2 linked regions of the Arabidopsis thaliana genome follow. The protein of the gene in region 1 interacts with the protein of each later gene in a pairwise test. Each region holds a gene or a part of one and is shown in the gene's direction. Other genes may lie near its edges.

Region 1 (5,999 bases):
TCCACTTTTGAAGCAAATAAAGACCCATGAGCATTTTTGCAGGAAGAAAACAACTTGTGACCAAATGTCGCTGAAACCATATTCACATTGTCCATCACTATATCTGAGCATCCCAAGTCTGCATCGCAGTTCAATGTAATGTCTTGATCGCTTGCAGATGACCCACGGATTCTAGCGTAACGCACGTCAGTCACTTTCACGCCTTTCCCATTACCAGACGGAGTCCGTTGTTTTGCTGTTAAATGACAGTTCTGATAGCTACTAGATGACTTGCTTATTCCTCCGTTCGTACCTCCATTGTGGTAAGTCTGGTCTATGATAATAGGGTTCTCTGAGGCAACCATGTTGATATCCTCGAATGAGATTTTCCGAGCATATCCCGATCCGTTCTACAAAACATTCACGCCAACAAAAAAAAACAGATTTAGTTTGTGAAAATGCTGAATAAGACCAAGAACTAATGATGTATAATAAAAAAAGAAGATTAATGGACAACCTGGTATGTCTTGATTCGGACACCGTTCTGTGTTTTTGTAAAAGTGCAGTTCTTTACCCTCACTTCTTCAACAGTTTCGAAATCTCCAGTTACTCCAAGACTTCCTACGCTATAATATCAAATCCATACTATAAATGATTTAGCATGTACCTTGCTGTATATTATATGATGATTGTTTGTGAATCTGTGATTTTAGGAATCACCTGATACCGTGACCGGGGCCACAAAAAATGCCGGTTATGTTGATATGAGAGGAACCGCTATTAATGGCGATGCAGTCATCTCCAGTGGCAATCACTGAGTCATGTATGTGGACTCCTATACAGTTCGATATGTCAATACCATCCGTGTTTGGACTATCACCGGGTGCTGTCATCCTTAAACCCCTGACCTCGATGTTCTGTGAACAACTTAGACCTACATGGTTCCGAGGGCTGTTCAAATGTCGGAGATTAGATATCCTAAGACCATTACAGTTGTTGAAGTGCATTGCCTAAGAAAAGCAAGGAAGAAAAAGAAACATCATTAATAACTGAGAATAAATATTTGATCGAAGTTCATATTTATGGTTGTGAGGATCTTGCAAATGGACTTACGCAGGGGCGATTATTAACGTTGCCCCACCACAAAGAACCACGACCGTCGATGGTACCACCTCCGGTGACAACAAGACCATTGATACTGTCAAAACTAATCCATGTTGTGTATCTTCCCGCATACCAAGTGTAACCCGGTGCCACAAGATTACCTCTTATCTAATGTAAATAAATCACCAAATTATTTAAACATTGGTTCGAGTTATTGTCTACTCATAAGCTAAAATCGATCACTATTGAAATCATTCACATTAGGGCTGGATTTTCCAATATAATTTGAAACAAGAGAAAGAGACAAGTATATATATACCGATAAGGAGATGGTCGAAGACTTGCATGGACCGATGAATGTAAGAGGCTTAAGCATGAAGGTTTTCCCTTGAGGCACAAGAATCTTTCTATTGTGTCCTCCTTTGCATACAGCTTCCCATGCTTTAAGAAAAGCCTGAAATATATTGATACACATAACACATACATTAAAACAAAGGTTATACATACCACTTTGATACAAATAGTGATGATTCTATAAATAAACACCTTAGTATCATCAGTCTTTCCATCGCCAATAGCTCCGAAACTAGTGACACTTATGAATCCATTGCTTCCAAATCCGTTTTTAACCTTTAGAGATTCTTCTTCTAAGCAGAAACATAATTTGTTTATTTGAAACAAACATAACAAGACAAAGAACAACGAAGATTTCATTTTTGGACGACTCATATGCTTGACGATGAGAACGAATTTCGATGATAATACGTTTTCTATCTATATATATCTCTAAATGTATATATAGGTTTGTATAAAGAAAGGTGGTTAATTGAAAGATATTGCGTTTGATTTTGTGTTTCTATGGTAAGAGATTATCGCTAATCACTAATTTTGTGTGCTATAACATGGAAACTAATAATGGACTATAATTGAGATATTGAAATCTTTATAACTATGGAATATTCAAACTTATTGACGTATTTAACAAATCGCAAACGATATATTTTTATACCGTTTTGTTTAGCGATAAGAGTGAAAGTTTACTTATATGCTTGATTCTTTCTATTGCTTACATGCTTGATTCTAGGAATGAATTAATTATGGCTTATCTAAAGATAGAAAATAGATTCATCATTAACTTATGTCATAAGAGAGAAAGAGAGACCTATGATTGAATCATTTATATGATGAATATATCCAAGGCGGCACTAATCTTTTTTGATTCACAAGAATCTTTAGATTGATTAAACCAAAATGTAAATATGACGAAACCTCATAAGAATTTTATCAAATATAAGTCCATCTAATTTCTTTAATTAGATAAATAGTAAATTTGAAATGAATAAAGATAAATAATTCATGGACGAATAAAATACAAATGATAGAACAAAATTCTCATTTTCATTCTTTATATTTTTGGTCAAGAATATTGTCATTCTATTCATTTTTGAATTATAGTAAGAAACAGATAAAATGTGTTCGTCTTATAAATGATGAAACTCTTAAATAAAATAAAATCTATGTAACCAATAAGCTATTCTTATTTAGTTAAATGGAGGAAACTTTAAATAGATTAATTTTCTCTAAATAATTTCTTTGCATACCTCAGTAGCAAACCGGTCCGGTCGGATCTGAATTGAACAAATCAAACCAAAATCAGAAACCAAACCAAAACAGAGAAAATACATTTTATTGAAACTTGAAAGTACCATTACGCGTGGATCTATGTAATAAGGAGGAGAGAGTAGAGTACTTTGCCGACTAAAAGTGAGTGCGGTGTTTAATGGGTTTGTCACCAACTTTCCATTTTCTTACCAACGAAGAAGAAGCAGAAAAAAAGTAAACAAAGACTAAAAAAAAAAAGCCAGCATCTTCGGAGTTGGTGGGAGAGAGACAGAGATGGAGAGGAGAAAGATTGTGATGTGTGGTGTTTTATTTCTTCTTGGTTTATTATCAGCTGTTACTGCCTTCGTCGCTGAAGCTACTCGAATCAAGGTTTCTTCTTCAGCACTTTTTAGGGTTTCTGTTTTTTAGTGAAATTTGTGGTTTTTCTCATGATCTTTGGGTTATTACAGCCACAATGGTTTGTTGAAACTCTATCTAAAGGATTTTTGGGTTTTGTCTGCGTTTCTTTTTATGTGTCGATTTTGAAATTCATTGCCTGAAAATGCGTTTGAGATGAAAGCTTCAATCTTTGAGATGGGAGTTGAATAATAATTGGTGGGAAACTCGTTGGTTTGGGAATTTTTCAATGAAACAGTAATGGTCCCCATTCACGGTGGTTTTTGTATAGAAGAACTTGTTGATTTCAAATTTGGAAGATCTTTGAGAAGTTTAATAGTAATTTTTTTTGTAGAGAGACTGTGTGGTAAAGAGTTGTTTTCTGGTGTGTTTTGGTAATTGCATATGTATTGATATGTTTAATGTCAGATTCCAATTCAACTAAGTCTCATTCACAAGCTTTTCACAATTCACATATGTGTTTTTGGATTTATTGAACCAAAGTTATAGCCTTTCTTAATGGGGTTTATGTATTGGTCGATTCGGTTGAATCATCTTTTTTAGAATCAATTAGTCATATAGAATTTGCAGGGTATGTAGAATCAGTTTTATTCTCTTGAACTACTCTGTCTATTAAGAAACTTTCTTGGTGTGTATTTGTGCAATGTTTCAAACTTTTTCTGAAGGTTTTGTTTTTCATTTTTATCTTAAAATCGATGCAGAGATCTCAGGTCACGGTTACCGTTTCGGATTCAATCACAAAATGCACTTATCCAAGAAGTCCAGCTTTCAATCTCGGCTTCACTTCAGCTCTCTTTCTGATGATGGCTCAGATAATAGTCAGTGTCTCAAGCGGTTGTTTCTGTTGTAGAAAAGGTCCTGCTCCTTCAAGGTCTAATTGGATTATCTCCTTAATCTGCTTTGTTGTTTCCTGGTAATTCTCATCATTTCTAATCCTTTTCTTGCTTCAAGTTTCCTACTTATAATTTGCTTACAACTAGTGAGTGAGTGATTTCGCGTTACTATAGGTTCACTTTTGTAATAGCTTTCCTCGTGCTGCTTTCTGGAGCTGCACTCAACGATGAACACACCGAGGAATCAATGAATGCTGGTACCTACTTTTGCTACATAGTGAAACCAGGCGTTTTCTCTACCGGTGCTGTGCTTTCGCTTGTTACTATTGCCCTTGGGATTGTCTACTATTTATGTTTGACTTCAAATAAGCAAATTGTTGCTGCCACAACGACCCAAGGAACAGGAATAGCAATGGGGCAGCCTCAGATTCCAGAGAGAGTAGAAGATCCTGTTTTTGTTCATGAGGATACTTACATGAGAAGACAGTTCACTTAAAAACAGACAAAGCTTGCTTGTAAAGCACGTTAGGTTTAGTAGAAGATTTAGACAAAATGATTAACGGATATGTGTTTGATTAAGAGTATTGAAACTTTGTAATGATTGTTATTCTTGATTGAAGTAGAAATCTTTGAGAACCCCAAAAACGTCACTTAGTTTTGTAGTTTTTTTCTCTGAATCTTTCTTATTTATTATGCAAGTCAAAAGTGGTTGTTGGGAAGAGAAGTGTTCGTCTCATTTACAACAAAAATTCGATAGCGATATATAGTAATCGAAATTTTATTCCCAAACAAGGGAACTTTGTTATTGATAGTTGGAACTAAAAGTTTGTAGAGAAATTTCAATGATACATATCCACCGTTAGAGGAACAACCACCACATGTTCTACCCAACCCTCACAACAACCAGTTTCTTCAAATCTTGAGTCTAATAAAATGCCAACACATCTACTCTCATTTCTTCTCATTTATAAACCAGTTTGATAGACAAGATATTAATAAGTGCATATAGTAAAATCTTTCTTATTCGTAACAAAGTTATTGTAAACTTATAGAATGGTTGTGAAACTATATGGACAGGTAACAGCAGCTTGTCCACAAAGAGTCTTGCTTTGTTTTCTCGAGAAAGGAATTGAATTTGAGATTATTCATATCGATCTTGATACATTTGAGCAAAAAAAACCAGAACATCTTCTTCGTCAGGTAAAAAAAACAAATTTCTTAAACTTAAAACATAAATATATTATAATTATTGTTTTCATGTGTAGCCATTTGGTCAAGTTCCAGCCATAGAAGATGGAGATTTCAAGCTTTTTGGTAACATCCTAATAACAACATTTTATAAACATTCTTCTATCATTTTCTTTATAGTGTTTTGAAATTTGGCTCTTTATCTTCTAAGAATCACGAGCCATCGCGAGATACTACGCTACCAAGTTCGCGGACCAAGGCACGAACCTTTTGGGCAAGTCTCTAGAGCACCGAGCCATCGTGGACCAGTGGGCTGACGTGGAGACCTATTACTTCAACGTTCTGGCCCAACCCCTCGTGATTAACCTAATCATCAAGCCTAGGTTAGGCGAGAAATGTGACGTCGTTTTGGTCGAGGATCTCAAAGTGAAGCTAGGAGTGGTCTTGGACATATACAATAACCGGCTTTCTTCGAACCGGTTTTTGGCTGGTGAAGAATTCACTATGGCTGATTTGACGCACATGCCGGCGATGGGGTACTTGATGAGTATAACCGATATAAACCAGATGGTTAAGGCTCGGGGTAGTTTTAACCGGTGGTGGGAAGAGATTTCGGATAGACCGTCTTGGAAGAAGCTTATGGTGCTGGCTGGTCACTGAATTAGCTCCAATTTATGATGATCTGAAGAACCAAATAAGCTTTATAGTTTCTGTTTTATGTTTGTGTTGTTTTGTACGTTTCAGTAATAAATTCAATATACTTTTAAGATTCATGTCAATGCTAAGACCATAGTTCTCTATTCTTAAGTTTTTACTCTATTTTTGAGTGAGATATAAAATGGGGTTAAAATAGAAGTGGAGTTTTTACATAGTATA
Region 2 (7,081 bases), on another chromosome or scaffold:
CGTGGATATAAAAGATACGTTAATCTTAGCGAATTTGCATAGTCTGCATTTTTTTCAGCAACTGATAATTATAGAATTTCCATTAGGCATAGAGTAGAAAAAACATCTCATGAATAATGTCTTCGAGAGGTTGAATGTCTCGTAATAGAGCTCATGAATGTTTTTAGGACAAAGCTTTAAACACATCGAATTCATTTTAATTTTAATCAACAAAAAAAGGAAAACAAAAAACAAGTGCCTATCAGAATCATGACTCGATCATATGTGACAAGTCTCTGATTTGGATAATATCAAGAGGCAGATCCTGAATGTTGAGATTGATGGTCTTGCTTGCTGCTTCCTTTCCTGATAGATTTTGAGAGACCTACTGGTAAAGTAGCTGGATCAGAGACTCTGTGTAATTGAAATTAATGAGATATTTCTAAAGTAGTTTTTTTTAAAAGTACTTGTATATGACAAGCGAGTTAAAATCCCCAATTACCAATCATCCATAATATCAACAGTAAATTTACCACGGGCTATGGGTTTAGGGCCACTATATTTTTAAGTGTTTCTGGGGGCCAAATATTTTGTCAATTCTAATATGTTTAGGCCACAATATTTTAAAAGCCTGTTATTGTTTTTTCAAAATTAAAAAGTGTTTTTCAGAGGGGCCATATTAAACATGTTTTGGTTCGTGCGTGGATACATGCTTTTTCATAGCTTTTGATTCCGATTTTTGAAACACAAAGCGAACCTCAGACGAAGTTTCTATATAATCTAATTCTACATACATGGTTACACATATCATGTTATGTTTTTTGTCAAATTATTTTAAAGTTAAACTGAGTCTGAATTGATGTATATACATCTTCACGGATGATTCGACAATGTGATGTTTCCTATGTCCATTATACTCCATATACATCGTACATACATCTTCACGGATAAATATCAAATTTATTTGCTTCTTCAAGCAAGCGTATATGTTTTTTCATACTTCCAAAAGTGTTCTTGTTTTTTAGTAAATGGAGTTTTACGTTTTTAGAGATTCATATTTCTTCTGCGCTGAAAAGTGAAACATAAGATAGGATAATATCTTCGCGCAGCCTGGGAAATGTAGATTGCTCTTTGAAAGTTGTGCCATCTGTTTTTCTTTTGGTCGTCTGCCATTCATTCTAAATAAAGCCCATTACATATACATGTATTTATTCAAAAAAAAAAATACTCAAAATGGTCCGTAAAAATAGAGAAAAAAATACGAACAACTATGTCAACTAAATATTTCGAGAGAAAAAATTATGTTGTTATCATTTTCCAAAAAAAAATAACCCGGAAACATCAACAAATAAAATGAGCAGACTTCTTTAAAATGAGATGATAAACACGTAATAATCTTTTAGAATTTGTTTTTTTGAATTTAATGCAAAATTATATTCAAAAGAAAAAAATACTGTTTGGTACATAGAAATGCATACTTTTTTATGGAAATCAAGTAAAGATTATCTATCCTTGACTTTTTAATTTTTATCTTTGATTTCTACTTGTTGTTTAATATAGTGAACCTATATAAAAGTTTGCGTTGTTTAGAATTCTGATGAATTGGTAAAGATAACAAACTACACGGGCATGTTCACCTCTTTTCACAATGCATTTTGATGAGCATGCAAACATTAACTATACATATCTATATATACATTTTTGCAGCCATTTTGTGAAATAAATCTTGTAGTTGAAACTTATTTACAATGGTTGCCACTGGATTTTAATATTTGTTTTTGATAATTAGAAAAAAAAATTTCGAATTAAATATTTGATATTTAACAATTTCCCTAAAATCTCTCTACATTAACTACACGATTGGTTACTAAAATAAAACTTTCAAAATATTTAATATCATTTAATTACTACAAAATTATCATTATTGATATTGTTTTTCTGCATGACTATTACAATTCAATTATAATCATCAAACCGTAGAGATATTTGATAGCATTTAATTACTAGATAATTTTAAAAATAAATGATTCATAAACATATGATAAATAAGATCAACATTAATAAAATAAAACGGGACGGGTTGGCGGAACGGGTTTGGCAGGACGTTACTTAATAACAATTCTTAACTAGAAAATAAAAATATTTTATAGATAGTTACATAGATAGTTACAAATTGTAAACTTTTATATATACTAATTTTAAAGTATAAATTGTCTCCGCGGTATACCGCGGGTGAAAATCTAGTATATACATATTTTAATAAGATATCTTTTATTATCATTTAATGAAAACATTAAATATGTACTTGTTTTTTGTTTCTCTTATAATTCAGGTACTTTGAACAATTAAATAGATAATTTAGCACAAAAGGTATACTATATCCATATAACATTATATTTGTAATCTATGTGCCATCCATTTCTAAACTTTGTAACTTTAACATAGTTGTTGACAATAGAAGTTGCACTAAAAGATTGTTTTTTATAATTATGTGTAAAGAATAATTTACAAAAAATTGGTGAAAGGATGGATATCTTTTGCAAATTTACCAAGAAAAAAAAAAGAAGAGAATATCGGAGGTGAGAGACGTGTATCCACGAGCCAACCATGTTTAATATCAGGCTTGGTTCCCACTATTGCATGACATGGCATCATCCCCATGGTTCTTTCGATCTCGCCAGGTCATCAACCTAAGTGGACCATTTATTTCGCATGATACACACCACCTGTTTATTTCTTTATTTGCTTTTTTATTCCCTATACATGCTTTTTGATTTTGATATATACTGTTCGAGGAAACAATACTCCTAAATAGTATAGAAATATTTTAAGAAGACAGAAATATAAATAATTATATTAAAAATCTTAACATTAGTTACAATATATTAATAAATTCAACAAACAGTTTATATATAGTTTATTCATGTTTGAAGCAAAACAAAGTTTAAAAACAAATATTTTCGCATGTTACTTTATCACAAAAAATGATCTAATTATACTAAAAATGATAAATTTATCGAATCTATTTAATATTTTGAAAAGGATTCTATTTACACTATACATATCTATGGACTACGATAGACATTTTTATTTTTAACACACGAGGCCACAAACGAAGGTATACGTGATGCATGAACACTGTGAAGTGTGAAGCTTCCTATATAATCTACATGTTGATGAACGCTCGATAAAATTATAAACCTAATTATTAGTCCAAAGAAATTCTACAAAAATTCTCTATTTAAAAAAAAAAAGATAGTGAAAAAATGTGTCCGTAAGTAAATAAGCGAATTAAATGTAAAATCTGTCCCAGAAAAACAAACAAAACTAAACTAGAAAAGAGAAATTTGAATTTACTTTTCCAAATTCCATTTACACATCAAAATTTTATTTATTTGTTTATGAGTGATTATCCGAATTACCTCCACCAAATAAAACCCTATCTTATTTCCCCCTAAATTATTAGAAAAATATAAAGTGATTAAGATTCTTTTGAAAGTTTGTGTTTATACTTTATCTTGTACTAAGAGAAACAGAACTTCCCTATAAAAAGCAAAAGCAAGTAAGAATAACGTGTTAAACTAAAACCTCGAAAACAACAAAACCCGAAACTGAAACAGAGAATCCAAAAAAAATGCCACAACTCGAGAACAACGAGCCACTTCTAATCAACGAGGAAGAAGAAGAAGAAACAGCGTACGATGAAACAGAGAAGGTACATATCGTAAGAAACGAAGAGGAGGACGATCTAGAACACGGCGTCGGATGCGGCGGCGCACCACCGTTCTCATGGAAGAAGCTATGGTTATTCACCGGACCTGGGTTTTTAATGAGCATTGCGTTTTTAGATCCAGGGAATCTCGAAGGAGATCTTCAAGCCGGTGCGGTTGCTGGGTACTCTTTGTTATGGCTTCTCATGTGGGCAACAGCAATGGGTCTTTTGGTTCAGCTTTTGTCGGCTAGGCTTGGTGTTGCGACAGGTCGTCACTTAGCTGAGCTTTGTCGTGATGAGTATCCTACTTGGGCAAGAATGGTTTTGTGGGTTATGGCTGAATTGGCTTTGATTGGATCTGATATTCAAGAAGTTATTGGTAGTGCTATTGCTATCAAGATTTTGAGTAATGGGATTTTGCCTCTTTGGGCTGGTGTTGTTATTACTGCTCTTGATTGGTAAATTCTCAATTTTTAGACATGTGTCTTCTTGTGTTATTGTTTCATTTGTCTGTGTTTGGTCCCAGTTTTGTCTTTTTGGTTTATGGTTCTAATAGCAGTTTAGCTAATCTAATCTATGGATTGTTTGAATTTGGTGTTAGTTAACCATTAGCTGTGTTAATTTCATCTTTACACATGAATTTTTGTCACTATGTGCTCATTTGGTCATTGATTCATATGTGTGTTTTGCTCAAAGTTTTGGTCTTTTTGTTGGAATCAGGAAACTCTAGTGAGTGTTTATGGTTCTAATTGTAATTTAGCTAATCTATTCTATGGATTGCTCAAATTATTATGTGTTAATTGATTAGCTGTGTTAATGTCTCGTGGAATTTCATCTTTCGGTGTGAGTTTTTGGTGTTATGTATCTCATTGATTCATATGTATGTGTTTTGGTCACAGTTTCGTCTTCTTGTTTCTTGAGAACTACGGAATAAGGAAGCTCGAGGCTGTGTTTGCAGTTCTTATCGCTACAATGGGAGTCTCATTCGCTTGGATGTTTGGTCAAGCTAAGCCAAGTGGCTCTGAGCTTCTCATTGGTTAGGCTTTCTTTCTTCTCTTTATCATTTTCTTAATGGAACAGTCTTTTAACTTTTTAAGTTCTGAAGAAGTTAGATTTCTCTTGTTGCAGGGATTTTGGTACCGAAACTGAGTTCAAGAACGATACAGAAAGCAGTTGGAGTTGTGGGTTGCATTATAATGCCACACAATGTGTTTCTTCACTCAGCTCTTGTTCAATCTAGAGAAGTCGATAAACGACAGAAATACCGAGTCCAAGAAGCGCTAAACTACTACACAATAGAATCCACAATTGCTCTTTTCATCTCCTTTTTGATCAATCTGTTTGTCACAACTGTTTTCGCCAAAGGGTTTTATAATACTGACCTCGCCAATAGCATCGGTTTGGTTAACGCGGGACAGTATCTTCAGGAGAAATATGGAGGCGGTGTGTTCCCGATACTATACATTTGGGCGATCGGGCTATTAGCTGCTGGCCAAAGCAGCACTATTACCGGTACATATGCGGGACAGTTCATAATGGGCGGGTTTCTTAATTTCAAAATGAAGAAATGGTTGAGAGCTTTGATCACACGAAGCTGCGCTATCATTCCAACTATTATCGTTGCGCTAGTGTTTGATTCATCGGAAGCTACACTCGATGTCTTAAACGAGTGGCTTAACGTGCTTCAGTCCATTCAAATCCCCTTTGCACTCATTCCCTTACTTTGTTTGGTCTCCAAGGAACAAATCATGGGTAGCTTCAAGATTGGTCCTTTGTACAAGGTTTGTCAATTTCGTTCAAACTCTTTTACTAACATTCTTTAAAGATCGCTTTATTAAGCTCGATCTCACCTTGTTGTGCAGACAATCGCGTGGCTTGTTGCTGCGCTCGTGATAATGATCAACGGTTATCTTTTGTTGGAGTTCTTCTCCAATGAGGTTAGTGGCATAGTCTATACCGGTTTTGTGACACTGTTCACAGCTTCTTATGGTGCATTCATCCTCTACCTCATTGCTCGTGGCATCACTTTCACTCCTTGGCCGTTCAAAGCGGAGTCTAGTCATTGAGACTGGACCAAACAAGACAGTGTAAGCGTAGTAGCTATGTCTTGTAATCCTTAGGATCATGAGTTCTTAGCTTTCTCTCTTGTATTATATGTGTTGTTGTTATAAAGCAGCTCTGGTTTTGTTGAAGAAGGCTCTTCTATGTATCAGTAGTTAGGTCCCAGAGACGAGAATTAATAAGAATATGTTCACATCTAAACCAATGTTGACACAGATCAAAAGAAACTTTGGGGAACATTCCCAAAAGTGTACATTTAATCGTCCGATCAGAGTTTCACAGTTTCAAGGATTCTCAAATACTTTAAAGTACATATTGTGGATATAGTCAGGGCAAATTCGATACACAAGGTAAAATGATGGAACCAAAATTTCCATAGATAAACACAAAATCTACTTGTTCTAATATGGTATATTATTAAGGGCTTTGTCCCGATCTATTACATTGGCATCTATGTTTTTGTTAATGTATTTTGGGAAGTGCAGTCTTGCTCATCTTGGCATTCATTGCCTCTTTGTCTTCCCTCTTGTTTGGAGTGGTTTGTTTTGGGTACAAACCAACGTCCCACATTTGAAGTTTAGAAAATAGTTTCCCATATATAAGCAAGTTCAACTTCAACTAGTAAGAGACATTTTGGGAAGGAGATCAATAACAAATCCTTGCGGATTTGAGCATGTAGATTCAAAAAGGACAATATTATACTAAAGGGGAGTTGGAATGGGCTTGGAAAGCCTAATAAATGGTGTTGAACGTGGGTTGAAAAAAATGGACCTAGGGCTTGGACTGTATAATCGGTGTGGGAGAAGCCTACCATGTAACACGATAAGAAGGATACCTCAAGAGAACCTCACAAATAAGAAGGTGTCGAGTCATGGTCCCAAGGTTTCTCTGAAGGGGACGCCCATGTTCGTGGTCCTTGGTTTGAAGGGGAGATTGTTGGGTACAAACCAACGTCCCACATCTGAAGTTTAGAAAATAAGTTTCTAATATATAAGCCAAGTCCAACTCCAACTAGTAAGAGATCTTTTGGGAAGGATCCCAATAACAAATCCTTGCAGGTTTGAGCATGTAGACCCAAAGAAAACAATATCATAGTAAATGGGAGTTGAAATGGGCTTGGGAAGCCCAATAGTTTGCGGATTGCACTGGATGCAGTCTCTCATGAAGTCATTGGGATCGACTTGTTTCAATCTCGCTTAGCTTCCTTTGTGTTGTATCTTGCATTTATCCCTAGTTTATCTTCTTTTGAAATATTGTTAGGCATTTCTTGCCTTGTTACCTTATATTTTCCCTTTATTTGGATTGTATTTGCTCCTCTTTTGACTGAGT

What was found. Proteins that work in one complex are often made in the same cells at the same time.
Region 2: the proteins of AT5G17210 (region 1) and NRAMP3 interact in a protein complementation assay, tested with the Arabidopsis thaliana proteins (one large-scale study listed by BioGRID).

Annotation. Positions count from the first base shown.
Region 1 is NC_003076.8:5,653,540-5,659,538, forward strand, and holds AT5G17210 (transmembrane protein, putative (DUF1218)), read left to right. Parts: upstream 1-2,808; 5' UTR 2,809-2,979; coding exon 2,980-3,075; exon of another isoform or gene 3,076-3,339; intron 3,340-3,803; coding exon 3,804-4,015; intron 4,016-4,109; coding exon 4,110-4,431; 3' UTR 4,432-4,654; downstream 4,655-5,999. Other genes in the region: AT5G17200 (Pectin lyase-like superfamily protein), read right to left, coding at 1-389, 497-605, 700-989, 1,093-1,251, 1,403-1,537, 1,630-1,797; GSTF12 (glutathione S-transferase phi 12), read left to right, coding at 4,989-5,135, 5,201-5,249, 5,335-5,783.
Region 2 is NC_003071.7:9,855,098-9,862,178, reverse strand, and holds NRAMP3 (natural resistance-associated macrophage protein 3), read left to right. Parts: upstream 1-3,400; 5' UTR 3,401-3,613; coding exon 3,614-4,149; intron 4,150-4,590; coding exon 4,591-4,727; intron 4,728-4,819; coding exon 4,820-5,472; intron 5,473-5,553; coding exon 5,554-5,757; 3' UTR 5,758-6,030; downstream 6,031-7,081. UniProt on the Arabidopsis thaliana protein: Vacuolar metal transporter involved in intracellular metal homeostasis. Can transport iron (Fe), manganese (Mn) and cadmium (Cd). Regulates metal accumulation under Fe starvation.